7 linked regions of the Ovis aries genome follow. The protein of the gene in region 1 interacts with the protein of each later gene in a pairwise test. Links are inferred from orthologs where the notes say so. Each region holds a gene or a part of one and is shown in the gene's direction. Other genes may lie near its edges.

What was found.
Region 2: the proteins of SF1 (region 1) and SF3A1 interact in binary tests that used the Homo sapiens proteins (3 or more experiments, as listed by UniProt). The link is inferred for Ovis aries from reciprocal best matches to the Homo sapiens genes SF1 and SF3A1.
Region 3: the proteins of SF1 (region 1) and RBPMS interact in a two-hybrid assay, tested with the Homo sapiens proteins (3 studies listed by BioGRID and IntAct). The link is inferred for Ovis aries from reciprocal best matches to the Homo sapiens genes SF1 and RBPMS.
Region 4: the proteins of SF1 (region 1) and DDX17 interact in binary tests that used the Homo sapiens proteins (3 or more experiments, as listed by UniProt). The link is inferred for Ovis aries from reciprocal best matches to the Homo sapiens genes SF1 and DDX17.
Region 5: the proteins of SF1 (region 1) and RBM17 interact in binary tests that used the Homo sapiens proteins (3 or more experiments, as listed by UniProt). The link is inferred for Ovis aries from reciprocal best matches to the Homo sapiens genes SF1 and RBM17.
Region 6: the proteins of SF1 (region 1) and KPNA1 interact in binary tests that used the Homo sapiens proteins (3 or more experiments, as listed by UniProt). The link is inferred for Ovis aries from reciprocal best matches to the Homo sapiens genes SF1 and KPNA1.
Region 7: the proteins of SF1 (region 1) and ATXN1 interact in binary tests that used the Homo sapiens proteins (3 or more experiments, as listed by UniProt). The link is inferred for Ovis aries from reciprocal best matches to the Homo sapiens genes SF1 and ATXN1.

What each region holds. Positions count from the first base shown.
Region 1 is NC_056074.1:39,464,498-39,468,797, reverse strand, and holds the start of SF1 (splicing factor 1), read left to right. Parts: upstream 1-1,500; 5' UTR 1,501-1,880; coding exon 1,881-2,289; intron 2,290-3,611; coding exon 3,612-3,740; intron 3,741-4,300. UniProt on the Homo sapiens protein: Necessary for the ATP-dependent first step of spliceosome assembly. Binds to the intron branch point sequence (BPS) 5'-UACUAAC-3' of the pre-mRNA. May act as transcription repressor.
Region 2 is NC_056070.1:69,352,954-69,356,453, reverse strand, and holds part of SF3A1 (splicing factor 3A subunit 1), read left to right. Parts: intron 1-468; coding exon 469-543; intron 544-1,542; coding exon 1,543-1,693; intron 1,694-2,042; coding exon 2,043-2,236; intron 2,237-3,077; coding exon 3,078-3,195; intron 3,196-3,458; coding exon 3,459-3,500. UniProt on the Homo sapiens protein: Component of the 17S U2 SnRNP complex of the spliceosome, a large ribonucleoprotein complex that removes introns from transcribed pre-mRNAs.
Region 3 is NC_056079.1:25,712,936-25,716,435, forward strand, and holds part of RBPMS (RNA-binding protein with multiple splicing), read left to right. Parts: intron 1-966; coding exon 967-1,005; intron 1,006-2,244; coding exon 2,245-2,307; intron 2,308-3,500.
Region 4 is NC_056056.1:216,001,639-216,005,138, reverse strand, and holds part of DDX17 (probable ATP-dependent RNA helicase DDX17), read left to right. Parts: intron 1-1,400; coding exon 1,401-1,551; intron 1,552-1,995; coding exon 1,996-2,095; intron 2,096-2,676; coding exon 2,677-2,810; intron 2,811-3,115; coding exon 3,116-3,181; intron 3,182-3,500. UniProt on the Homo sapiens protein: As an RNA helicase, unwinds RNA and alters RNA structures through ATP binding and hydrolysis.
Region 5 is NC_056066.1:10,877,075-10,881,120, forward strand, and holds the start of RBM17 (splicing factor 45), read left to right. Parts: upstream 1-1,246; 5' UTR 1,247-1,380; intron 1,381-3,494; exon of another isoform or gene 3,495-3,602; intron 3,603-4,046. UniProt on the Homo sapiens protein: Splice factor that binds to the single-stranded 3'AG at the exon/intron border and promotes its utilization in the second catalytic step. Involved in the regulation of alternative splicing and the utilization of cryptic splice sites.
Region 6 is NC_056054.1:187,775,848-187,779,774, reverse strand, and holds the start of KPNA1 (importin subunit alpha-5), read left to right. Parts: upstream 1-1,127; 5' UTR 1,128-1,194; intron 1,195-1,519; exon of another isoform or gene 1,520-1,647; intron 1,648-3,927. UniProt on the Homo sapiens protein: Functions in nuclear protein import as an adapter protein for nuclear receptor KPNB1. Binds specifically and directly to substrates containing either a simple or bipartite NLS motif.
Region 7 is NC_056073.1:39,996,763-40,000,262, forward strand, and holds part of ATXN1 (ataxin-1), read left to right. Parts: intron 1-2,933; 5' UTR 2,934-3,093; coding exon 3,094-3,500. UniProt on the Homo sapiens protein: Chromatin-binding factor that repress Notch signaling in the absence of Notch intracellular domain by acting as a CBF1 corepressor. Binds to the HEY promoter and might assist, along with NCOR2, RBPJ-mediated repression. Binds RNA in vitro.

The sequences.
Region 1 (4,300 bases):
CTTACCCACTGGACTACCAAGGAAGTTTTGAGAGGTATAATTTTAATAGATAATAGAATGCTTTTCAAAAAAGCATTCAAAGTAGTAACTTAGCTTTTTTTTTTCCTGATTGTTGAAGACGTCTCATATCACTTTTAATTTGCATTCATTCTTAGGAGATTGGTACTTTTCATATTTTTGGCTATTTGGATCTGCTCTTCTCAGGCTTGTCTATTCAGTCTTTGCTCATTTTCTGTTGTTTTTCTCTTTTATTTTTTTAAGACTTATTTCCATATTACAGATATTAGCTCTTTATCATATGTATGGCAAGTATACTTGCCTAATGTATTACTGTTGACTTTTATCATAGTTTCCTTTGGTAACTAACTTTTGTTGTTTCCTGTCTTCATAAAGTCTCTACCCCTAGATGACTCCGACAATCTCCTAAATTGTACTGTGTCTGTTCTATTGTTTAAATTTAGGACTCTATAGGGCTCAGGGGTTAAAGCTCTGCCTGCAATGCGGGAGACCTGGGTTCGATCTCTGGGTCGGGAAGATCCCCTGGAGAAGGAAATGGCAACCCACTCCAGTACTCTTGCCTGGAGAATCCCACGGACAGAGGAGCTTGGTGGGCTACAGTCCACGGGGTCGCAAAGAGCCGGACACGACTGAGCGACTTCACTTCACTTTATACCATTTACTAGCTAAATCTTTTCCTTACTGAATTGAAATGCCATTTTTTTGGTTAGACTCTATCCTATTGTACTGTCTTTCCTACAACAATACCACATTGTTTCATTAGTGTGTCTTTTCTATTGTATTATTCGGAAAGGCAAGCTCCTCAACCTAGTTTACAAATTTCCCCACTATTTTCAGTTATTTTATTTGACTTAAAAGATGATCTAATCAATCTTAACTTCGCTGGGATTCTAATGAAAACGCACGGTATTTTTGATAACTTCATATTGCCTTCCACTTAAGATATGTGTACCTCCATGGGCTCGGTACCGTTTTTAATCCTTCTTCCTCCCACTTTTTATTTTTTTCAAAAACAGGAAGTCCTCGTTTACCTGTGTTGTCGACGGATCCGGTTTACCGGTCCGCGCCAGCCCCTCCCCCACCCCTCGGTTCCGGGTTACCATGGGACTCGAGGATTGACGTCACCAAGGGCTTCCGCGCCGGACCCGAGGGTCAACGCTGAAGCCAGGGACAGAGACACGGTTTTGCCCCATCTATGCATGCCCGCTCCTGTCCCGCTCCTCCCCGACCCCAATTCTTGTTCCGCCAAGGCTTTCCCGCCGCGACCTCTAGCTTAAACCCAGCGAAATTACTCCCCGGGGAAAAGGAGCAAAGGAAAAAAAAAAAAAAAAAGAACCAGCGACAGCCAATCCCAGGACATTACAACGCAATGGAGATTGATTGACTACACCAACCCAGCCAATGGGAGAGCTCTTGGCCCCATACGTCACAGAGTTTGCCCCACCCTATCCCTCCTTTCTGGACTCCGAGCTCCGTTCGCGCAGTAACAAATGAAGTGCGCGCTGCGACACCTCCCAGCTCTTCAGGCTCGGCCGCCATTTCCTCGCCTGGCCTAACGGTCCGGCCAATCCCAGCGCGCATCGAGAAAAGCTAAGGCTCCACCAATCGGAGGCCGCCGATTCCGACCCTTTGCCTCCGCTCGGCCCAATCCAGGCCCCGGCCCCGTCGCCCCCGATCCGCCCCCGCGGCGCTCTCTCTCCTCCCTCTTTGTGCGTCTCGCGCCGCCGCCGCCGCCCCGCCGCGTGAGAGAACGGGTTCCGCGCGCTCCGCGGCAGCGCAGTCGGGTCCCCTCCCCCCAGAAGATTCGCGAAGAAGAAGCCGCCGCCGAAAAGGAGCCGCCGGTGCCGGTCCCTGGGGGCGCCATGGCGACCGGAGCGAACGCTACGCCGCTGGGTAAGCTGGGCCCCCCAGGCCTCCCTCCCCTCCCTGGCCCCAAAGGGGGCTTCGAGCCGGGACCACCGACTGCCCCCGGGCCTGGGGCGGGGCTGCTGGTGTCCGGGCCGCTGCCGCCCCCGCCCGTGGGCTCGGTGGGGGCCCTGACCGCGGCCTTCCCCTTTGCGGCGCTACCGCCGCCGCCGCCGCCGCCGCCGCCGCCCCCCCCGCCTCCCCAGCAGCCGCCGCCGCCACCGCCCCCCTCCTCGGGCTCCTCGTACTCGCCGCCGCAGCCGCCCCCTCCGCCGCCGCTCTACCAGCGCGTGTCGCCACCACAGCCACCGCCACCCCAGCCGCCGCGTCAGGACCAGCAGCCGGGCCCGACCGGCGGCGGAGGAGGTGAGTCGGGCCGAGAGAGCGCGCGAGGCGCTGCGCGGATGGGCCCGGCCGGCTGAGGGCCGCGCGGCGGCGGCGACGGCGGCTGCACGCGGCAGGGGCGCGCGCGCGCACGGGGAGGCCCGGGCGGCGGAGCCACGGGGCGCGCGGCCTGGTTCTCGGGCCTCGAGTGCGCACGCGCCTCAGGGGTGGGGGCCCGGCGGGAGGAAGTTTGTTGCGCGCAGGCGCAGTTTGGCGGCCGGGCTTTGTGGCTGTCCTAAAAGCCGGGATTGGGGGGACCCCTTGTTGCTCTCTGCCCCTGGTGTTCAGGAGCGGGTGTGGATAGGGGATCGAGTGGGTGGTTGGGGTGCCTCATGTGCAAGTCCGGAGGGCGGAAAGGGTCGACTGATGACGTGGAGCGTCCTCTTCCTGGTTGTAGTGGAGTCCTAAAGGAAGAAAGTACCAAGAGAAGCTCCTTAAAACTTCTTTAATAAGACAGGGCTTTCACTTCAGAACCAGAATGGATGAAAGTCTTCAGGGGGTGTTTGGGTCCGATTTTTTTGTGGCCCTTTTTGGAGAAGGATGTTCCGTTCGTTTCCATATCTCACTGTATCTACCTAGGAAGTATGACACGCCTCCTCTTGAGGCTTTTCCGCTGGGTCTTGCTCCTGAGAAGGCGCCTTTGTGTATCAAACGCCAGGAAGTTTCTGCTTGTGTACTGGGGAAGAAAGATTTGGCTCTTGTTGTATAGCTTGTTCTTTGTTGAACTTGATACATTTTTTAGACCCTAAGTGTCCACCTGGCCAGGAAAATGCTGACCTTAGCCAAACCTCTGAGGAGAAAAGTGATTTTGCTGAAAAATCCAGGTTTTTCAGTTGATAACCATAAGTTTAGTTGCGTTTTGTCTCAGGTGACTGGTGGGGAGGTGGGAGGAGCCAGAAGTTAACAATATTGCTTTATACCCTTGAATATTCAGTCTGCTCTTATGTCCTGGGGCTGTTAAGAGGTTTATGGACACCATGTGGTATACTATTATCTCAATACTTTTTTATTTCACTACTTGAAACTTTATGCACTGAGATTTCTTGTTTACATATTTCACAACATTTCTGTGGACAAAAATCATAAATGTGCCATGTTAACTTTTCAGACCCAGGTCCCCTTCTAGTGGCCATGTCTTTTGACTTCCCAGGTTTGTCTTCCATTCTTTGCTGTTTCTTTTTAGGTCAAGTTCTCAGTTTCACGGTCTGCTGAGGTTGTGTGTAGTATAATAAGTATCCTAAACTGCTTGTTGGTAGTTACTCTGCTGGTTTATCTTTGCATCTGACGAACCTTATCTCTTTTAGACTTCCCCAGTAAGAAGCGGAAGAGGAGCCGCTGGAATCAAGACACAATGGAACAGAAGACGGTGATTCCAGGAATGCCTACAGTCATCCCCCCTGGACTTACTCGGGAACAAGAAAGAGCTTATATAGGTAAATACACGTTCTGCACTCAAATGCATTTTCAGATCGTTACTGAACATTTTATTTGTTGAAAGTTTGGGACTTTACAGTTTTCTCTTTGAGAGGAGCTATGGTCAGATGACTTTGATGTAATCCATAAGTTTTTGCTCTGTGAGTCCTGCATTTGTAGCTCCTTGTTTTGGTCTGTTGGTAACAGCAGTGTTCTCCATGAGTGCCAGAAGGGTAGAGGGGCCTGCTTAGGAATGAGAATAGTTCCCAGCCCAGCACCCCACCCCACCCTTTTCAGCTGCTGTTCATTACCAATTGATGAGGTGAGTGTTACATGCCTCTCTGGACTTGGCCCCAGTGGAGAACACTGCAGGTATTGTAAACCAAGTACCTTTTTCACAGCCTGGCCTTTCACCATAATTTCATATTCCTCCTTTCCCTAAAATGTGGTCTTTTATTTTTTTATAGGTACTTTGTGAAAGGGGAAAAAACTCAGTTTAATCAAAAAGTGGTTCTGAAAGTGTGTTTACCCCCTTTTACCATTTTGTTGAATTTAACCTTTCCTTCAGCATCTTTTCTGG
Region 2 (3,500 bases), on another chromosome or scaffold:
GTGAGGGGGCAACATGCAAGTGCACCGTTAGTGTGTGTCCAGGGGTGATAAACACCGTGGATAAAATGCTCCAGAGAAAGCAGGGCGTGGAAGTCCAGGGAGGGGGAACCTGTGGGCTGCAGTCTTCAGCAAGGTCGCTGGGGATCCTGGGGGGCGTGTGCAGAAGCAGAAAGGCAGACCCGCCCCGGGGGCAGTCACTGCATGCTGACGGTGTGCGTGGTGATCTGCGGGTGCTTTTGCTTTCTCCCTGCGAATCCTCGCAGCCTTTTAAGTTGACAGTGCCACCTTTAAGTGGCGGTGTCACCGTTTTGTAGAAGCGAGCCAAGTCACAGAGGTAAAGGCACGTGCCTGGCGTTGCCCAGCTAAGGAGGTTGGTCCCGTGATCCCGTGCTCTCCCTTCTCCTCCACAGGCCACTCTGTCCCGGGTTGTGCTGCACCGACAGCTGCTTCACCTTTTCTGTGTTTCAGATCTTGATTCCACCCAAAGGCTTATTTACCAAACTCAAGAGAGAGGCAGAGAACCCCCGGGAAGTTTTGGACCAGGTAGGCTGACCGTCTTCCTTTCTTCTTTTCTGACTGTCTTGTTCTTTGTGCCTGTGCTGGGTCCCGTCACTTGGTGCGGCTGCCTCTGCTTGTGGTGAGCGGGGGCTGCTCTTTGGTGCAGCGTGGGGGCTTCCCGTGTTGCGGAGCACAGGCTCTGGACGCATGGGCTTCAGCAGGTACAGCACATGGGCCCTCCAGTGCTCGGGCTTAGCTGCTCTGAGGCATGAGGAATCATCCCAGATCAGGGTTCCAACCCACGTGCCCTGCGTTGGCAGGTGTGCCGCCAGGGAAGTCCTAAACTGCATTTTTTACGGCCAGTTACTAACAGCACAGGTCCCAGCGTGTGGGTCCTGCTGTGTGTCTGCAGATGGTCTCTGAATCGACACCTTAGTCGTGGAGGGAAGAAGGGCACTGAGGCTGCAAAGACCAAAGAGACCTGGGTTCCCTGGTCCCTAACTTGCCACTCTCCTTTTCACTTCTGTCGGTCTCCGGTTTTCTTCTCTTGCTAGAAGCCAGCTTTTGAATGGGTTCTTGGGCGACAATTGCCCAAGTCCGGTTTTGAAGTCCGGTTTTCAGAGTCAGGAGACCAGGTGTGTTGATGCTGGCAGTTCTGGGAGGCTGCTTGAAGCCTTCTGTTGTGCAGGCGGTCAGGCTGCCGCAGCTCCTGTGGGCACATGGTTGTCACACAGACTTCCTGGGAGGGAGGAGTTTGCTCGCCACCCGCCAACACAAGCAGAAAACTTTGAGGTTCTAACAGAGAGCTGCCCTTGGGGCCCAGACAAAGGTCTCTGGCATTCAGATTTTCATCCTGTCCAGACTCTGGGCCTGGCTAAAACCAGATGCAGGTTCCATAGTCTGTTCCAGGAAGTCCCCCTGGTGGGCAGAGCAGCCTCCTGTTCTGAAGGAGACGCTGACTCTGGTGAAGGCCCTGGAGGTGACAGCCTCCTTGGGAGCCAACCCTGATTTCAGCTCAGCATCGCGCCGTTCTCCTCCCTTCAGGTGTGTTACCGCGTGGAGTGGGCCAAGTTCCAGGAGCGTGAGAGGAAGAAGGAAGAGGAGGAGAAGGAGAAGGAGCGGGTCGCCTATGCTCAGATCGACTGGCATGACTTCGTGGTGGTGGAGACAGTGGACTTCCAACCCAACGAGCAAGGTTGGTCTATGACTCCTGTTGGCGGAGCCAGGAGCTTGGCGCCATCGTCCTGGGGGAGTGGGCCAAGCTGTTCCTGGGGAGCAGGCCAGGCTGTCCCCGGGGAGCGGGAGGATCCCAGTGAGGCTTCTGTCTCCTCCTTGTTTCCAGAGGACTTCGGTCCTCCCGCTGCCCCAGTTACTCGCAGTTCAACAGATAGCATTGTGCCCGGCCCTGGGTGGGCCTCTGGGTGTGGGAGAGAGACCAGGTGGCCCCAGCCGTGAGAGCCAACGGCGTGGGGCAGGCTGCCTGACGGGCCTCTGACAGGAGTGTCTGTGGAGCCCTCCCTTGACTCCTGCTCACCCTCTGCCAGGAAACTTCCCCCCGCCTACCACCCCGGAGGAGCTGGGGGCCCGGATCCTCATTCAGGAGCGCTACGAGAAGTTTGGGGAGAGCGAGGAGGTCGAGATGGAGGTCGAGTCCGATGAGGAGGATGAGAAACAGGAGAAGGCGGAGGAGCCTCCGTCCCAGCTGGACCAGGACACCCAAGTACAAGACATGGACGAGGTGTGCTCCTGGGGGGTCTGGGGTGACTCTTCCCTGGAGCCAAGGGCAAAGGGGTGCGCTCCTCCATCAGACTGAGTGTGCCAGCCCCCTCGTGAACCCTGAGAGCAGACCTGGGTCCTGAGTAAGGCGCCCCTTTTTCCAGCTCGGGCAACAAAGATTCCTTCATAGGCAAGGGTCCACGAGCCGCGTCGGCTTGTTTGGTGACCGTCCTCCTCTGCCCAGAGGCCCCGCTCACTATTCCCTCCAGGCTGGCTTTCCTTAGGGAACCCTCTGTCCCGGATACTTGGATGTTTTGAGCCTAGGTCCAAATGATTAACAGTTTCCAGAGCTTTTCTGACTGTAGCTTGTGCTTCCTCTGGGTGCCTCTGCCCCTTTGAGCCAGGCCTCCCCACAGGCTTAGAGTCTCCAGAGCCAAGCCGCTTTCCTCCTCTCGGAAAGAATTTGTGTGCAGCCTGAGAAGAAAGGCCCACGTGTCTGTGGGAATTGACTTTTTCTCTCCCTCCCAGCATTGCTCCTTGCGTGGCTCCCATTGAGCGCTGACTCGCCCTCTGTGGCCCTCCCCAGCACGTTAAGTGCCCTTGGCCTCCTGGGACTGCTTGGTGCCAGCTGCTGGAAATGCCTGGGCAGAGTGTCAGCACCACAGCCCCCAGCACTGCCATTCATGCTGTGAGGAAGCTGCTTGGCCTGCTGCCGGCTGGCCCCGGCTGCCCGGGGAGCTTAGCACAGGGATGCTGGCCGGCAGGGGCCTCGGCTGCTTGCCACCCTGCGAGCTGCCGGGCTCAGCTGCAGGGAGGTGGCTTCTCGTTCCTGCCCTGAGTCACACTACTGCCTTGCTTTTCAGGGTTCGGATGATGAAGAGGAAGGGCAGAAAGTGCCGCCCCCGCCGGAGACACCCATGCCACCTCCTCTGCCCCCAACTCCAGACCAGGTCATTGTCCGGAAGGACTATGACCCAAAAGGTGGGTTCCGTTTTTATGCCTTGTGTCTCTCAGACCTGTGTTTGTTTCCAGGATGGCTAGCGGGGGCTTGTCATAGGCACTGAGAGCCCCTGTGTTGTGGGCCTCACGGCAGGGCGTGGGACTTGGTCATCTGTGGTGCCCTGGCTCAGCACACAGGGCCTGTTAAAGCATGGCACTGCGTGGGCAGTGGAGGGATAAAGCAGCACCCTCTCAACCCAGGCTGCCACCCGGGTTCTCACTCGGCCATCTCTGTCGCCTTTCAGCTTCCAAGCCGCTGCCTCCGGCCCCCGCTCCCGATGAGTATC
Region 3 (3,500 bases), on another chromosome or scaffold:
GGAAACCAGGAGGGATCAGAAAGGGAGTGAAAGGGAGTGTTTCCATCTTCCTTGAGGATGAGCTGGAGTAAAACCCAACAGGGAATTTTTGCATCTCCCAATCCTAATACCAGCATGAAAACAGATGGCTGCAATAAATAAGCAAAATAACAGAATTTAGCATTACTGCCTGTTTAACTTTTCCAGGCAATTTTGAAATTTTCATTGACAAGTTCTACTAAGTACACTATCAGTGTTTTGTTGTTGTTTTACAGCAAATATATTTTTCAGTGTGAACAAGTGAATAAGTGTGAACAAGTCATCACATACTCTACTTAACTGCCTTTCTTCTGTCTCTTAATTGTGTCCACATCTTTGCCACCCCATGGACTGTGGCCCGCCAGGCTCCTCTGCCCATGGAATTTCCACGGAAGAATACTGGAGTGGAGTGGCTTTTATCCTATGTATAAAATGGAAAAGACCTTCTGTTGACATAGATACCGTTTTCCAACTGTTTCCCAATTGCATAAGAACATAGAAAAGAAACGTAAGAGAGTGAGTTTCAGGGCTTGATCTCTTTTAGGCCCAAGTGTGGGCTTCCCAGGTGGCTCAGTGGTAAAGATCCACCTGACCGTGCAGGAGACTTGGGCGCTATCCTTGGGTCGGGAAGATCCCCGGGAGTCGGAAATGGAAACCCACTCCAATACTCTTGCCTGGAAAATTCCATGGACAGAGAAGCCTTTCAGGTTACAGTCCAGGGGGTTGCAAAGAATTGGACATGACTAAGCATACAGCACATATATATATATACTTAGGCATATACATTGTGTGTGTGTATAAAACTTGTTTTATAGTTAACAGACATTTGTAGGAAGAGTTGGTCAGTGGTCATAAAGGACTCATTGTCACTTGAGCAAGATGGTATTACAATTGCTTTTTTTCCTGGCGTATTGTTTTTGTGGTCTAAATCTGGTTCTTTATTTTCAGGGCTACGAGGGTTCTCTTATAAAGCTCACATCTAAGCAGGTAAGCATTTCAAACTTGCACATAAGTGATGACTTATAGAATAAATTTTGATTGACTTTCTTCAGGAATGTCACAAGGGCTCAACATCCTTTTTTTTTAAATTTCCATTAAGATTTATTTTTTTATTTTTTTGCTCTAAAATTAAGGGTGAGATCAGTTAAGAATTAGCAGAGGAAAATGATTCCTAATTCCAAAGCCTCCAGCTAGAGTGTCTGAGACTATCCTCAAGGAAGGCAAATATAATGCCTCCAGCATGGTTATATTGGGATTGATCTGTATCTTCAAAAGAAATTATTGTCTAGATTCACTTTTACTGCCAATTTTTTTTTAAAAATACAGTTAAATAGTCAGACTTTTCATTCACAGTCAGTATGAGAAGTTGATGGTAAAGAATCAGGCTCTGTCTCAAACCCTTAATAACCACATGCAGAGTCTTAAGTCTAGAATGGCGCATAAAAGGCACAGGTGCAGAATGGAGGTAGTAATCAGTGACCCTGATAGCGGCTTCAAGGGCCTTGAAATGTTTTGGCTGTGCTTTTTTTTAATCCTGAGCAACCGGCATCTCACTTTGGGTCACTTTTCGTCTCAATACAGTATTCTCTGGTTCATCAGGAATAGGCTGTGTTGCAACTATCCTTCTGGACTCAAAGATACTGAGTCCAAAGCAATTAGGAGTCCTCTCTTGAGTTGGAACAGTATGGTTTACACACCTAATTAAACACAGAACTTTTTAAAAACATCCCTTGGGATTTGAGATTAAAATGTTCATTATATAATTTTGATCGTGCAGTGAGACTACAGGGCTTTTATCACTGTGTCATTATATTCCTTGCACTTACAGTGTACCAAAAGGTGATTCGGTTCTCTTTGCATTTTAAACGATGAAGATGCTGAGGTACAGTGAGTTCGATGTAGGACAGTAGAGTCCCTCCACCCAAGTTTCCCTCTGTTCCCTGGTTCACTGCTGCTCACCTTCCAGCCCCTTCTAGACTTAATTTTTTTAATGATTCTCTAAATCTCCAGCTGTCCCTTGAAGAACCACCCTCACCATCCCTTTGATCCATGTTAGAAATTTGGCTAAGCCACTGAGTCATGATTCTTCTGGACTGGCTTTCTGATTTCTGCCCATTGCCTGCGGTCATTTCTTTATCTGAGCTCTTTGGTTTGATGTCATCTTTGACCCAGAAACAGAGACATCCCCTGATATTTTTTTCTTCATATTTCTCTTTCTTTCCTTAGCCCGTAGGTTTTGTCAGTTTTGACAGTCGCTCAGAAGCAGAAGCTGCCAAGAATGCTTTGAATGTAAGTACGAATGATGTTCATCTTCGGGGGTTTCCTTATGAGGTAAAGGGAAAGTAATAGAACCTCTTTGGACAGGAAAGCAAATGGAAGGGATATGACTACTTGATCTAAGAGGAACCGACTCTAGTTAGCCGCATAAAGAGATTTTGCCTAAAATTGTGGTTAGATGTGCAGACTATTAAATAACACTTTGCTCGTCTCTAGCCCTTACTGTAATGCTCAAGATACCTGATGCTGGGGATTTTATTTTAATTCAGCCCAATCATATCCCATGGTGGTGTGCAGTTTACTTCAGCCCCCATTATATCCTCAGTGGCTAAGCCCAAGTCAAGAATAGAGAAAGATCTTGGCTTTCCTTAACACAGGAGGCTTTTAAGTTGTTTGGCTTTTAAGGGCTTCCCTGTCTGTCCAGTGGTGCAGACTCTGTTCCCAACGCAGCAGGCACAAGTTCCATCCCTAGTCAGGGCTGCCTAAAAGTGTATTGTTTAAAAGGTATGTGACTTTAAAAAAAAGTTGTAGTCTTTATTCTGATTGATTTAAAATTTGCATATACTACTTCCCCAGAAGACATTCAGCATTGTGGTGTATAATAAAGGATTTCCTTCTCCAGTGCATGAAAGTGAAAAATGAAAGTGAAGTTGCTCAGTCATGTCCAACTCCTAGCGACCCCATGGACTGCAGCGTACCAGGCTCCTCCGTCCATGGGATTTGCTAGGCAAGAGTACTAGAGTGGGTTGCCATTGCCTTCTCCGATAATAAAGGATAGGCAACTACAATTGAGTAGAGATAACCTGTATTTGGTTTGAAAGCATTTTGTTTCCCATATTTTTAAGACTTTTTACCAGCTTTAATTTAGTAAGATTTTTTTCCCTCCCTTTGGTATGTTTTTTTTAAACAAAAACCAAAAGCAATTTAAGGGGAATCAACCCGGGACAAGGTGGTAGGAAGCAGAATTTAGTTCTGGGCGCCAAGGCCTGATCCAGGTGAGGCGTCTCAGTGAAGAGCCTGGCTCCATCCCTCTCCAGACAGTTGACTTAAGCGGCTATGAATGAGGTGTGAGTACAGCTGCCAGGAGTGTTGGAATACTTCTTGGAGGGTCGGCTTATGTGAACTTGTGGCTGTGGGTCCTGAAGGTGTTCTCCCAGCTGTTTCTCGGCGCCTGGAGGCCCAGGGACCCTGTGGTGAGGGGGGCT
Region 4 (3,500 bases), on another chromosome or scaffold:
GAGTAATATTGGAGTGCAGCAGCAGCATTGAAATGGCATTTTTTAGGAACCACGTATGTTGTTGTTCAGTCACTAAATTGTGTCCAACTCTTTGCAACCTTGTGGGCTGCAGCACACCAGGCTTCCCTGTCCTCACTATCTCCCAGAGTTTGCTCAAATTCGTGTCCTTTGAATCAGTGGTGCTATCCGACCATCTCATCCTCTCTCTCCCCTGTCTGCTGCCTTGGATCTTTCCCAGCATTAGGGTCTTCTCTGAAGAACCACATAATTAGGCAGCCAACCTCTGAAAGTTAGTCTTTGGTCATTTTTCTTTGCAAGACTGACAGTTTAAAGACTTGGCTTTTTTATTTGTAGAGAACCTTATTTATTGATAGAACTGTGTTAGTTACTTCACCTAAGAGGGAGGGAGGAGGGGTCAGTCTCCTATTTGGTCTTAAGCCTAAGGACGTATTGAAGGTGTTGATTGGTATTGATCAACAGTAATATAAATAGAATCTGCCAAGTTCTGTCTTTTTGAATGTAAATACGTAATGGTCCCAAATTTCCTGCCATCAGTTTTTGTATATTTGTATTTAGAGAAATATCTAGCTGGCTCTTTAAGCCGAGAAATTTTAAGAGCATTTTGAGTTCCAGGAAATTGATGTGCTTTAGAATGGTTAGTACATCTGCTGCCTGTTGAGTAGTAAACTAGTGGAACCACTTGTAAGATGATGTTATGAATGAATTAGAGTAGAAAAGGAGAATTAAATTTGGTGTAGTGGTTAAGGAAATGGGATGAAAACATTGTGTATTTGTACACCAAAACAATGTCCTGCATTTTTAATAGGTTGAAATACAGAAATGAAGACCATCTTAGGATTCTTCTTAGGAAACAGAACATTTCAAGTTTGGCTAATGGCCATATTTGTACTCCAGTTGAATTTGTTTGTTGTGAAAGCAAGATAAAGCGAAAAGAATGATTTTTAAATTGTTTTAAAGACCTTAGATAACTTTTTCTACCTGTCCATAGTTTTGCCCTAATTTAAACTTAATGTCCTCACTTAGCTTCATTTCAGAATATTACATAAGAGTAGCAATTTCTGTTCACGTTAGTATTTCTGCTGCTGCGTCGCTTCAATCGTGTCCAACTCTGTACAACCCCATGGATGGCAGCCCACCAGGCTCCCGCGTATTTCTAGCACCACTTTATAGTTGATACCCAGTAACTATTTGTTGAATGAATACAATTATGTCAATTTGTACTGTTTACTATGGCAGATACTATTTTAAGTACTTTACACAAATATTTTTTGGAGGGGGCTGGTAGTATCTTAAGAGTTGTATCTTTTTGCATGTTTTTATGGCACCTGAAATATTTTGCTTTAAAAATACTAATAAACTGAAAATTTTGATGTTTCTAGATTTGGAGCAAGAGGTGGTGGTGGCCTTCCCCCAAAGAAATTTGGTAATCCTGGGGAGCGTCTACGTAAAAAGAAGTGGGATTTGAGTGAGCTCCCCAAGTTTGAGAAGAATTTTTATGTCGAACATCCAGAAGTGGCAAGACTGACTCCAGTAAGTTTTAGGGGCGGTATTTATTTACCTTTTCTTGACGTACAGTAATGAACCAAGTAGATAAATTAGCCAAAGTTTACTCATACATATATATATATATATATACACAAAGTTTACTCTTGTATTTTTTATTCTGGTGTGGTGGGGATTTTTCTTTGGTTCTTGTTAGGAAAGCTGATACTTGTAAGAGAAAGCACTTGATTCTCATACGTTGGTTATATTTCATTTAACTGTTCTCATGTGGAAAATGAAACCTACTGCATGCTTCGTTGACTTAGAAAGTTGGGTGAAGTTGAACATACATGAAAAACACTGTAAGAAGTGTTAAACATATTTTCCATTGTAATTGTGAATTTGATCCTTGTTATGCTATATTGGAACATAAAGTTTTGCACGTTTAGAATAAATTGGTTACTGATTTGTCTTACTTTGTTTCTTAAATAGTATGAGGTTGATGAATTACGCCGAAAGAAAGAGATTACAGTGAGAGGGGGAGATGTTTGTCCTAAACCTGTGTTTGCCTTCCATCATGCTAACTTCCCACGTAAGTGCTTTTCAGTCCAGTATATTAATTGTTAATTTAGCTTGAATGGTCACTGTGCTCATAAGTTATTTAAAGGTTTTGACCCAGCTCAGGATTTTGTTGAAAAGACAAACAGAAACCTTTCACAAAAGTTCTTCAAGTATTTTGGCAGGGGGAGTTGTCTTTTTAATGCTCATGTGTTCTCAGTTTAGAACTTCTTTGGGTCTTTTGCAGGGTTTTTTGTTTGATTGGTTGGTTGGTTTTCATCTTTCCTTGGGGTTTTGCCTCTACATTTCAGAAAAATAGCAAAATAAAATTGCTTTCTACCTGGATAAAATTTGGATTAGATAAGCAGTAGGTGGCTATTAGGTGCCCATGCCTTGTACCTTAGATACTTTAGACCAATGGTTTTCAAGTTTTCGAGAATAAGGGTAGATGGCTATGGCAGTAGCCTTCTTGAGAAGTAGTCAGCAGGTCAAATAACTGAATTTCAGTAACTGAAGACAAAACTACTGCTTCTCTTGGAGAGATGTATAATTTGTTTTGGCTGTAGGTTCGCTTCTTAGTTTTACCTAAAAGCAATAATATCTGTTCTTGTACAGAATACGTAATGGATGTGTTGATGGATCAGCACTTTACAGAACCAACTCCAATTCAGTGCCAGGGATTTCCCTTGGCTCTTAGTGGCCGAGATATGGTGGGCATTGCTCAGACTGGCTCTGGGAAGACGTTGGCGGTATGTACCCACAAGGGAAGACTTTTCATATTGTGGTAACTTATTTTGCTGTTGTATATTAACATATATTCTCAGTGCATAAAATTCTAATTCAAATAGTGGAAGTAATATTTCAGCTTTTTAGCTATCTGAAATATGTGGAAGCATTTTATGTTCATATTTGCGTTGCATATATATGTAAGAGATGTGAATTCTGTTTTCCCTTTCCTGGTTTTACTTAGACATTATCAATTACTGTGATAACTTAGAACAGTTAATATAATGGCTTAGTTTTGGTATAAGACTGTCCTTCTTTTCTCCTCCAGTATTTGCTACCTGCAATTGTTCATATTAACCACCAGCCTTATTTGGAAAGAGGAGATGGCCCAATTGTAAGTGTATTTCAGTTTGTGTATACTTCGAAAAATAACTACAGTTTATTATTATGTTTCAGGCACTGTACTTTACATGTGTTCTCAGATTTCATTCGCAACCCCACCTTCCATATCTGGAGGAAATACTGTCTTACTGGTAAATCTTAGGCACAGTGACTTGCCCAGGGTCAGACAGTAATTAAATTGCTGAGCTGGAATTTGAATCAGTCTTCCTTTTAACTACTGTGCCTGTTACCTTCATATGTAGGCATTTAATACAGATGCATTGCTTAATTGCCCATTGATACTATGAGGGATACAAAGGTGTAAAATGAGA
Region 5 (4,046 bases), on another chromosome or scaffold:
AGTGTCTACATGCTTGCAGTCAGCAGTTCTCATCTGGCAGAGGCTGCTTCCTGTAAAAACAACCTAGGGACGTGTGTCAGACCTTTATCGTTCAGGGCCCTGGGAAGTGAGTGATTCTGCTCTGTGGTGGGTTTATAGTATAAATTGTTACCAGTTTCCTGGCTCAATAGCTATTTTATATCTTCACATTTCCCAGTCATTAACTCTTGAGTCAGCCGTTTGAGACTTGGGGAGGCCCGGGAGATTAAGCAAAATCATTTTACTTCAAAGGACAGGGACCTAGGGTTTGTATATGATTTCAAATATAGACGAGAAAATCGCATTGACACAGAATCCTATTTTCTCTTTCGTCCCAAATTTTGTCCTATCGTTTTGAAATCATGAGGCTTTATAACATGTACCGTGTATGTATACATGTATGTATACGTATATAACATGTATCCTGTAACTCTAACTTCATACCCATGATTTTCTTATCCCTTCCCTTGTGACTCAGCTGGTAAAGAATCCGCCTGCAATGTGAGGGACCTGGGTTTGATCCCTGGGTTGGAAAGATACCCTGGAGAAGGGAAAGGCTACCCACTCCAGTATTCTTGGGCTTCCCTTGTGGCTCAGCTGGTAAAGAATCTGCCTACAATGCAGGAGACCCAGGTTTGGTCCCTGGGTTGGGAAGATCCCCTGGAGAAGGGAAAGGCTACCCACTCCAGTATTCTGGCCTGGAGAATTCCATGGGCTATACAGTCCATGAGGTCTCAAAGGGTCAGACACGACTGAGCAACTTTCACCTCACACAGTTAATTCAGCACCCCTGGTCTTGTCTTTTACAGCCCTTTGGCCATTCATCTCTCCTACTATGATTTATCTTTAGCTTTGTGCACACTGATGATGAACAGTTTTTTTTAATATAAATTTATTTATTTTAATTGGAGGCTAATTACTTTACAATATTGTATTGGTTTTGCCATATATTGACATGAATCCGCCACGGGTGTACATGTGTTCCTCATGAAGCCCAAATTTGTAGCCCTCCTCTCCGCCTGAGGTCAATGCCAGGCTCCCGGGTCTGTAGCGTCACAACCTTTTGCCATTGCGACCCCTCTTGGCTGCAGAGGAAATCTCTCGGCTCTGCGGGCGTGGTCCTCCGGACGGCAGGGGGCGCACGGCAGCAGGGGCGCCCTCAACGCAGGCGCCGGGTGCCTCTCTTCCGGCCGTACGCGCCGTGACCCCGCGCCGCCGCGCGTCCCGCGAAGTCTGCGTAGGGGTTGGCGCCGGAGCGGTGCTGCGGTCGGGGGCTGACGCCGAGCCCCCAGCCCGCGGTGTCGGCGGCGCGTCGGCCTCGGTGCGCCGCCGCGGCCCGGGATCGTCGGCCGGGCGGGCCGGGTAAGTGGTCTCTGGGGCCGGTGGGCGGGCGTGGGCCGGGGCCGGCGCGCCTCCTCGGGCGGGCGTCGCGACAGGCGAGGCCGCGGCTTTAGGCCGCACCGCGAGGGGCGCGGGGCGGGGGTCCTGACCGGCCCCGCGCCGCTGGCTGCCCTGGCCGCTGGCAAGCCTCCCGTCTTCTCTCTCTCCCTGCTCCCCACGTCCTTTATGTGCCTCGGCTTGCAGGGCCCTCGCACCCCTGCTCTCCCCTTTTTCTTCCTCGTCTGTTTGCTCTGGCCTTGTGTCTCCTGGACCCGAGGGCACCTTTCCCTCTCCTGTCCCCTCCCTCTCGCTGTCGGTCTGTCCGGGAACAGCTGTTGGTCCCTTGAACCCAGTAGCCGGGGCCGCCGAGGAAGGAATCCGTTTCCGCCCCTGGCTTCGAATCAGGTGTGGCCATCCCTCAGAGACGAGGGTTTTACCTGGACGAGGCTCTGGCACTGCCTCGGACCCTGTCTTTTCTTAAAGCGGTGTTTTAGCTTCGATATCCAGTCACAAAGCGTTTTTTGTTTTTTGTTTTGCTTGAGCGTTTCCTTTTGCCCAGGTCATGTTTAGGAACAGCAAATAGTTAGATCAGTAAGATTCTGTCTCTACGCTCCCGTGAGTTTAGTTTCCAGAGAAACAAGTGTAAAAAGCCACGCCTCGGTCGGTCTGGAAAGGCTTCCTAAGGAGTGAGGCGTGTAACTGAGCCTTGGGGGTGTTTTGTTAAATGTGCAGGATGGGGGAAAGCTTCCTTGCAGAGGAAATAAGGGTAAAGGTAGCGGAAGGGAAGCACCGTAGTGCATTCTGGAAACTGCAGGAAAGGTAGATAGTGTGAACGTGGGTAGTCAGGTCAGATCAAGACGGTTCTCTGAGAAATCAATGGAGGAGGGTCCTGGGAGGTGCTTATTCCTAAGGGCAGGCAGAATAGTGTATGGTGAAGTCGCTCAGTCGTGTCCGACTCTTTGCGACCCCGTGGACTGTAGCCTGCCAGGCTTCTCCGTCCATGGGATTCTCCAGGCAAGAATACTGGAGTGGGTTACCATTTCCTTCTCCAGGGGATCTTTCCAACCCAGGGGTCGAACCCGGGTCTCCCGCATTGGGGGCAGACGCTTTAACCTCTGAGCCACCGGGGAGGCAGGCAAGTGGGTGGGAAATAGGATATTCTAGGGGAGGGCAAAATTCTGGACATTCTCAGGTAGGTGCGGACTGTGTCTCCCCTCAACAGGTGGAGTTTTTAAAGGATGCAGTTCAGTTTCCACAGTTCTGTGAGTTAAGGGCCACAGGCATTTTGACTATAGTGAGGATATTTAGGCGATATGGGATATTACATTAGTAACTTAAACTGTAGGTGATTTATTTTTAGAAGAAATAAAGCAAATGGTATATACTAAGAAATGTGCTGTGTGCTGACTGACCACTCACTGATATATTTAGAAAATATTTAAAAAGTGCTTAACAATGTCCCACGCAAGGTGCTCAGTTGGAGATATAAAGATGAAGACAGAAACATCCCTTAACGCCTTGAGGGGTTTATGATATAGTAAGAGACAGACATGTCACCCAGTGGAGCCTAACAAGACGTGTGTTCAGGGGGTAGCTGGTTTTATGTGAGGTTTGTTGTCAGCAAAGGCTTCAGAGATATACTTAAAAGATGAGCACATGGGGTGCTGCTGAGAAGACGTCTTCCTTGTTCTTTTTTGCTAGTTGCACGTGTTTTAAAAAAAATACTTCTCTAGCTTGGGTAGAATCTTGAAAAGTCATCATTCTTCCAGAAGAGCTGTGTTTACCGTGTTTCTTTTTAAGTAAAAGAAAAAGCATACCTGGAAGATGTGTTGATCAAAGGCTGATGTTACTATGAAAACGAAGTCAGTAGTGAGGCGGTATTTTAAAGAGGTTATGAAAATCAACTGTTTGTATTTCCATTTGGTCCTGGCTTCCTAAGATATATTCAGATGTTAGAAAGTGCTCCGTTTTTATTACCTGCCACCAGACTTCATGAAATAAATGTGTTGTATCATCTGAAAGACATCTGAGCATTAAGCAGGTGAAGTTCAGGTCCTAACAGAGTCTTGTTAGTGCGCTTGTTATTTTCAGCGTTTGCCGCAGAGAGGATGCATGAATCAACTGTGACATAGTTACAAGTACTCAAGGCAGCCACAGTGAAGATACATGCGCCTTTTAAGGAATGCATGCAGCAAGCTGTGTCGGTAAGGTGATGTAAAAGGAGGAAAGGAAGGAGTTAGCATGGGGTTCAGGCTGCTGCTGGGCCAAGGAGATCACTTGGGTGGATGGGATGGGATGGGGACCATATGGGTGGAGGGTGGTCTCTTGTCTCACTGGTGCTTGTTGCATTATAGTAGTTACTTAAAGCAAGTCTTACAAGTGCAGGTGGGTAGAGCGTGTTGTTGCTGTGGTCCATCCAGTTCTATGAATTTGAAGGTCTGTGGAGAGAAAAGTGAAGAAAGCTCTTCTGCCTTTACTGTGATGAGATCTGATGTGTAAGCTCCGAGGTACAGAAAGCTAGCAGATGCTAGTAAGGGGGCATCACTTTGTGATATTTAAGGTATGCTTTTGAAGGTTCTGAGGACAGAAACGGGGAACTTTAAATGAACATAAGATTTTGCTGCACAGTGACTTTCGAAGCTTGCAGA
Region 6 (3,927 bases), on another chromosome or scaffold:
TGATTGGAATAAAGTGATCTGTCCTTAGCTCAGTGGTGGTGAGCTAAGTCATGTCTGACTCTTTTGCAACCCCGTGGCCAAGTCTCCCCCTTAGAACACATTCCCTTTCACCAGGGCCCTTGATCGAACTCAACACATCCTAGAAAACACACTTTAGTGGGAAACACTGATGTGGCAGAAAGACATCCAGGACAAATGAACACTGCATCGTATGGTCCTCTCTCCCGCTCTAATGTTACAGAGTTATCCCATTTCTTCCACCCTGCTTCTCCGTGTGTGTTTTAGGTTGATTTGATAAACCGTTATATGTGAGACTTTATATTCTGTGACCTCTGCTTGGCTGCCTTCAGTCTTTCTTTAGAAGCCACTGCTCAAAAAGAATCCCCCAAAGAGAATTCCGTCAAATTTAACAGTAAATTATTTGCCCCAAATTTTCGTTGGAGAACATTTGTTGAGAGTAAAGCCAGCGTTCATGTTTCGTTTAATTCCTTAATGAATTCTGATACTGCTCAGTGCATTACCAGGCAAAGCGGGACGGGACAGAACCAAATATGATATAGCCCGAAGTTTTCTCAAACGTGCTGCACGTGAACGCCTGAGCCATGAGGCGCTGACTTATAACTCTTGTAAAAATCCCTCAGCCTTCATTCATTCCATCAACGTGTTCTAGTTAACAACCGTGTCAGTGGCTAGCTATAGACAGGTGAGCGAAGATCGACCTGCCGCCCTGGAAGAACTTCGAAGACAAAACATAACTTTGCAATTCAGCCTAAGAACTACCGTTTCATTGTCACTCCAGCATGACTCTCCAACCCTTGTCATTAACTGCCCACCTTCTCAATCGGACCTTCTCCCGGACTCCAGACTCTCTCCACTGGTTCCCAGCTAACCGCCAGAGCCTCCAGAGAACAAGCTGAAAGACTACATCTCCCGGCAGCCTCTGCAGCAGAGTGGTGGAGAGGAACGCGCAAGTGCGCGGCCCGGCCCCCGCGCGCAGGCGCACTGCGAACGCCGGCTGAGCTAGGTCTCGCTGTGCTGGGTGCGCGGCGGCGGAGGCGACGAGCGAGGCCTGGTGAGCACCGCGCGGCGAGAGCCGACTCTTTCGAGGTTGTGTGTAGAAGACGGACGGCAGGCGAGCGAGCGAGGCAGAGGCTCACCCCAGAAGTGGCACCGGGATCGGTTGCCTTGAACCTGGTGAGTGCGGGGCTGTGGCGGCCCCCGACCCCTCCCCCTCCCGCCGGCCGATCCGGCAGTCCTCGGCGGGACCCAGGAGAGGCCCCGCGGCGAGGGCCGGCCGCCGCCTGTGCTCGAGCTCGGGTTCCTGGGCCTGGGCACTCGCGGCGCGTCCGTGCGTCACGGGCCCGGTTGTCCTAACGGCCGCGCGGCAGGCGGAGGGGACGGTGGGGGTGGGGAGCGCTGGTGTGTTCGCCATCGGGAACGCCGGTGGAGGCGAGGCGGGGCGGGGCGGGGCGGGGTGGCGCGGCAGCCGGGCTGTAAGCGGCGCCGGGGACTGCGGGGCGCAGAGGCTGCGGGGCGGCGAGGAGGCAGCGCGGAGCCGAGCAGGCAGCGCGGAGCCAGCGCCGCGGCCCCACGCAGACGGGCGTGGGGGCGGGGGTGGGCTGCGCAGAGTGTGCGTGACTGAGCCAGGTGAGAATAGGGGATGGGGGTGTGTGTAAAAACCCTAACTGAGGCAGTAGGGAACGGTCTGGTCTCGGAAATTGTCAAGTTTCAGCCAGAGCCGGAGGTTCGGGGGAAGGGGCAGGGGAGTGGAGACGGCCGACTGCAGTTTACAGATGTCATAACAACATGGGCCTGAAGCGGCTGACAGGGGTGTGGTAATTATAGGAATGACAGAACTTAGTCTGCACACAGCGTGTGTCAGTGGTGATGCGAGAGAAGCTCAAAATGGGAGGAGAGGACTGAAGGATGACTGGAGTCCGGGAAGCCGTCATGAAGGAATGTTTTCGGTTTGAATGGAAGTATTTAATGTTCGGCTTCTAAGCAAACGATGTCAAGATAATTGATTTTTAAGGTTTAAATTCTGAATAAACAGTTTGGAAGTAATTTTTCTAAGCATACTATTAAATAACATTTCTAACTTTTCAGTCCTCTTTTCCTTTAATAAACACTTCCTTAAAAACCTGTTTCTTAACAGTAGATGAGTAAGTGATGTTTCCCTTCATGTTACTTCAAGGCTCATTATTTTTTTTTTTTTATTTTTTTTTTTTTCAAGGCTCATTATTGACATTTTCCCCTTGTTCTTGCGTTTGTAATATTTTGAAAGTAATTCACAAGCTATTCCCCTTCCATTTTAAAGATTGAAGAGATGAAATTTTAACTTCAAAGGAAAGGAAGGATGAACTCTGTTGTACTTTTACTGAAATAGTTTATTCTTTGATGGCACTGTTGTGTTTAACACGGGGTTTTCAGTTGGAGAACTTGAGAGAAGTTAAAGGGGTAACGTTTAATGAACTTTTTTCCAGATACTGTGCTAAATACTTTCTGTAGAGTAAAAGGTTTAATGCTTACAGTAACTTTGAAGTGTGTTATTTTTTTCCTTTTCTACAGATTAAAGCTTTGAGGGTTAGAGAAGTTAAGTAACTTACCTAGGTGTTGCAGCTCTTGTTAGAACAGAATCACTGACATTTTAGGAATTATTTCTCCTCTCCTTTCATACTTCTTGGTTGTGTTTTCTTTTTTTGGTCCATTCATATGCTCAGAGACTGGGGATGTGGACATGATCAAGACATTGTTCCTGTCCTCATGGAATTTGTAGTGTTGCAGAGAAGACTAATAGATAAAGACTATAAATATTGACTGCGTAAAATTTTATCGGTCATTATAATTGAGCGGGAGCTGTACTAAAAAGCAAAGGAAGTTCAAATGGAATCAAACAACGCAAGCCTTGAGTGTTTACAGTCTGGTAGAGAAGCAAAACATGCATTTATGAAAACCTAGACTAAGCTAAATGATAGAAATTAACACATCACCAGTGTACTTGCATTATGTTACTTTAGATCCTTATAGAAATTCCTTCACAGAACTGTGAATTAATATTTTGTACTTTAACTTTTATCTAGGATTGGGACATGAGAAAGGGAACATGAAAAAACTCTTCCTTGCTACCCAAGACACTGTTTATAATTTATTTACTGATCCTTATAAAGTATAAACCTTAAAGACGGGTTCTTTTAAGCCCTCAGTGACAGGCCTTTTTGATTTTTTTCTTTGCTTTACAAAAAAATTTAAACAAATGACTCTTTTTATTAGATCATTTCTATTCGTAAGCCATCCTGTTTGTCTTTATACTTTGGCTATTAGGAGGCTCAGAGCTGTGATCAGCTTTGGTAATTTTCATAATTTTCCTTTGCTTTAACTGTGTTATAAACTATACCAGATAGTCTGGAATTGCTGCTCTCAGTTGTTTCCTGGACTACTTGTTCTCTGTTGCTCTCAATTTTATTTTTACCTTTTCCCTCTCATTTGAGAGTAGGGTTTATTTATTTTATCTGCAGTATGTTAGCATAATGTTTGTTGAATTAATGATAAAGTCTTGATGGTTTATGAATTTGTTTTTAAGTCTGTCATTGTTTATAGAAGTATGTGTGCTTTGTATAAAATCAGTTAAGACTTTTGGCCATGCAAGTAAAGGTGACTGACATAAAGATAATTCCCTGTTAGATAAAGATAATTCCCTGTTACTCTCTTTAAGGTTTCTGTATTTTGCAGGGTATTCTGAATTCAGCCATAATAATGGAAGAAAACATTGAAAATGGTAAACAATTCAATTAGCTGATTGGAGCTGATTTCACTCTATTCTTGCTGCAGTAAGCAGGAGGTGGCCCCAAGCCAGCTGGGAGCCAGATAGGACCTTCATTAGAAAATTTTTAAGTCTTTGCAGTGACAGAGCAGGAATGAAGACTGATG
Region 7 (3,500 bases), on another chromosome or scaffold:
TGTTGCGGCAGGTGCATCCGGAGGCACACGCCTTGTCTGGGGGACTCAGGTGAACGAACCATTGGTGTGTTTCAGCACTGAAAAGGCAATTAGGGACATGAAGCCCATTTGTCTGCAGCTAGAAAGAAGCCCTAAAAGCAGACATCCACTCTCCTTTCTTCTCTTCTTTCCTAGTCTCTCTCTCTCTCTCTCTCTCCCTTTTCCCTCCTGTACTTTCTACCTTCATAGTTTTATCTCTGTTTTTTTTTTTTTTTTTTTCATCCCGTGAACCATCATCCAATGTACCAGGGACACAGTGGCGTCCTGTGGTGCCCTCTCGTGGCTCACTGAAAATATAGCTAGACACAGTCCCTACTCTCACAATGACTTCCCCTGCTGAGAGATACGGACAGCACAGAGAGCCAATGAAGCGCAGAACAGGGACACGTGCCCCAGAATTACAGTGACCCACGTCTGTAGCTGCACTGGTAAATAGGAAACATGGTCCTTCTAAATGTAGGAGGGTGAGCCGAAATTTATATCAGTCTGGCCCCAGGGTTGCTCCAGTTAATCTTTGTATCCTTGACTTAGTGTCAGTTATTATCTGGAAAAGATGTTTATCAATGGACCACTTTTCAGAAGAGTGCATTTGAATTTGTGTGTTAAGGCCGATATGTTTTAGTGGTCCATTAGCAGAAAAACCAGCCATGGAATCTATAATGAGATCTTTAAGGCCAACAAAGCCTCCCAGTGTCTCTCAAAACAAACAAAAAAACAGTGTATATAAACCAAGGCACTGCTAAGAACCAAGTCAGCATTGTTTTTTTCAGATTCACTGAAGCTGAGTTCTGTTTTAAAAAGTACCTTCAGAGGAGTTTTCTAGTTTTGTGTATGGTGTGTTCCATTGTGCAGCAATTTCACATTTGCATTGCTAATGGACCTCTTTGCAAACGTGTTTGACATTTTGCTTGGCTTTGAAAGGACTTTTATGCTGCTATTTTTTCCTTCCCTAGAGCTGCCTTGGGCTAATTAACCTATTCCCTTACTGGCTGGGCTGCTATATGCAAATACTCTCATTCTGGATTCTGACACACTACTCTTACATGAACATCCCTAATGAAATCCTGTGGGGTTTTATTGGAGCAGTGCTACTGTGGGGCCAGCAGGGGGCGCATGGAGCAGTTCACGTTGAGTCCATCTCCTAAATCACTTTCCTTTGCTAGTCCCAATGGGAATGCCAGTTTATGTTCTCTTTCTTAGAGTAACTTGAAACCTAGAGATAAAAGATCGGTATCAACACTTTTTAAGCAGTCAAAAGCGTCAACTGTTTTCAATTTTGGTAGTTTAGTTTTATTCTGTCGTTTTGAAAACAGCACTGGCATCTCAGTAGATTTGTATATATTAGGTGTAAATTACATGCCATGAACTTCCTAAGAGAAGGCTATACCTGGGGCTTAATAAAGCCGGAGGTTGGGAGGGTAATGCTGAAAACTGCTGCCTTATTTTGTCTGTTTTAACATCAGACTATAGAAAACAGGTCTGGGTAGGAGAAATGCTAAAACCCAGGACCTGGAATTCCCAGAACCTGATTCAGCAACTTTCCAGGATCACAGCACAAGACTGCTGACAGCCTGTAGGCAGCCCTCACATCTGCCTCCTGTTAGCCTAGTTCCTGTTGGTTCCACTGATGATCTGCCTCTTGCCAGGTGGACATCTGTCTGCCTACACAGTTCTGGTAACAGAGTTCGGTGGTTCCCAAAAGACTGAGATAGGTGTCCATGAAAACTGGCTCCCTACTTGTATGGCCAGGTTGAAACACACAGGCCTGATTGGTCTAGCAGAGGCTTCATCTCCAGGGTTCATGGTGGACTGGCCCTTTCCAAGAAGAGGGTGGAGAGTATGGAGAGAGAATTCAAAGAGCACTTGGAAAGGAAGTAAGAGGCAGAGATGAAGCAAGCATGTTGCCCTCATTAAGGACACCCTCAATGCCTGATTATTGCATTTTTAAAAACCAAACCATGTTCCTATTTTGACTGTCTCATAGATTCCTTTTGGCTGTTACCGTATGAGTAGCTGTACTGGGAGCTGTTTGGAAACGTGTAGAGAACATAATTATTTGGGGCTGCCTCTGCTCAGTTGGCCTGTATATAGTGTGTTTGTTTATGTCTGTGTGTGTGTGTGTTAGGCAAGAGAGAATTGTTGTAAATCCAGTATGGACCCAGAGTCACTAGAATCTTTGAGTAGTGCCTATGGCAGAGCTTCCCTGATAGCTCAGCTGGTAAAGAATCTGCCTGCAATGCAGGAGACCCAGGTTCAATTCCTGGGTTGGGAAGATCCCCTGGTGAAGGGAAAGAATACCCACTCCAGTATTCTGGTCTGGAGAATCCTATGGACTGTATAGCCCATGGAGTCGCAGAGTCGGAGAGGGCTGAGCCACTTCCTACTTTCACTATGGCAGAGGACTCAGATAAGCTATGAAATCCGCTGGGGACTTCCCTTCCTAACCTGGTCCTCCCAGTGCCTGGCTCAGAGGAGGGCTGATTGTCACTGGTGCCATCCTCCCTGTAGGCTTCATTTGATCCTCCAGAGACTGGGTAAAGATACAGCTGAGGAGTGGGAGGGCCATTTCTGGGAAGGAAACTGAGAAATGCATTGTTTGCCCTCCAAAAAGAAAAAGGGGCAGGGGAGAAGGTATTGAGAGAGATATCTTAGAAGACTTACTAAACCCATAAAAAAAGGTTTGACTTGCTCCATGGCTTAATGGTCTTCCTGATGTCCTACCCAACACGGCAGCGTTTTACCTGCTCTAATAGTGGGGCTGGCGGCAGGATTTTGGGGGATTCACATCAATCTCGCGGGAGGGTGTTCTTTTCCGGTGTTGATGTTCTGACGCCCTGTTCCCCCACCCCCCACCCCTTTCTCCCTCTTGGTCCCGACCCTCTGCCTTTTCCCAGATTCCAGAGCAGCTGCTGGAGGATCGCACCCACGGGGAGATGATTCCTCATGAAGAGCCTGGATCCCCTACAGAAATCAAATGTGACTTTCCGTTTATCAGACTAAAACCAGAGCCAGTCCGACAGTGAAACGGTCACCGTGGAGGGGGGACGGCGAAAAATGAAATCCAACCAAGAGCGCAGCAACGAATGCCTGCCTCCCAAGAAGCGCGAGATCCCCGCCACCAGCCGGCCGTCCTCGGAGGACAAGGCAGTGCCCAGCGACAACCACCGCGCGGAGAATGCGGCATGGCTCCCCGGTGCCCGGGGCCACGTGGGCGGGCGGCTAGGGCCGGCGGGGCCCCCGGCGGAGCTCGGTTTACAGCAGGGAATAGGTTTACACAAAGCGCTGTCCACGGGGCTGGACTACTCCCCGCCCAGCGCGCCCCGGTCCGTCCCGGCGGTGGCATCCACCACGACGATGCCCGCGGCATACCCGCCGCCCCCGCCATCCGGGGCCCCCGTGTCCCCGGTGCAGTACGCCCACCTGCCGCACACGTTACAGTTCATCGGGTCTTCCCAGTACAG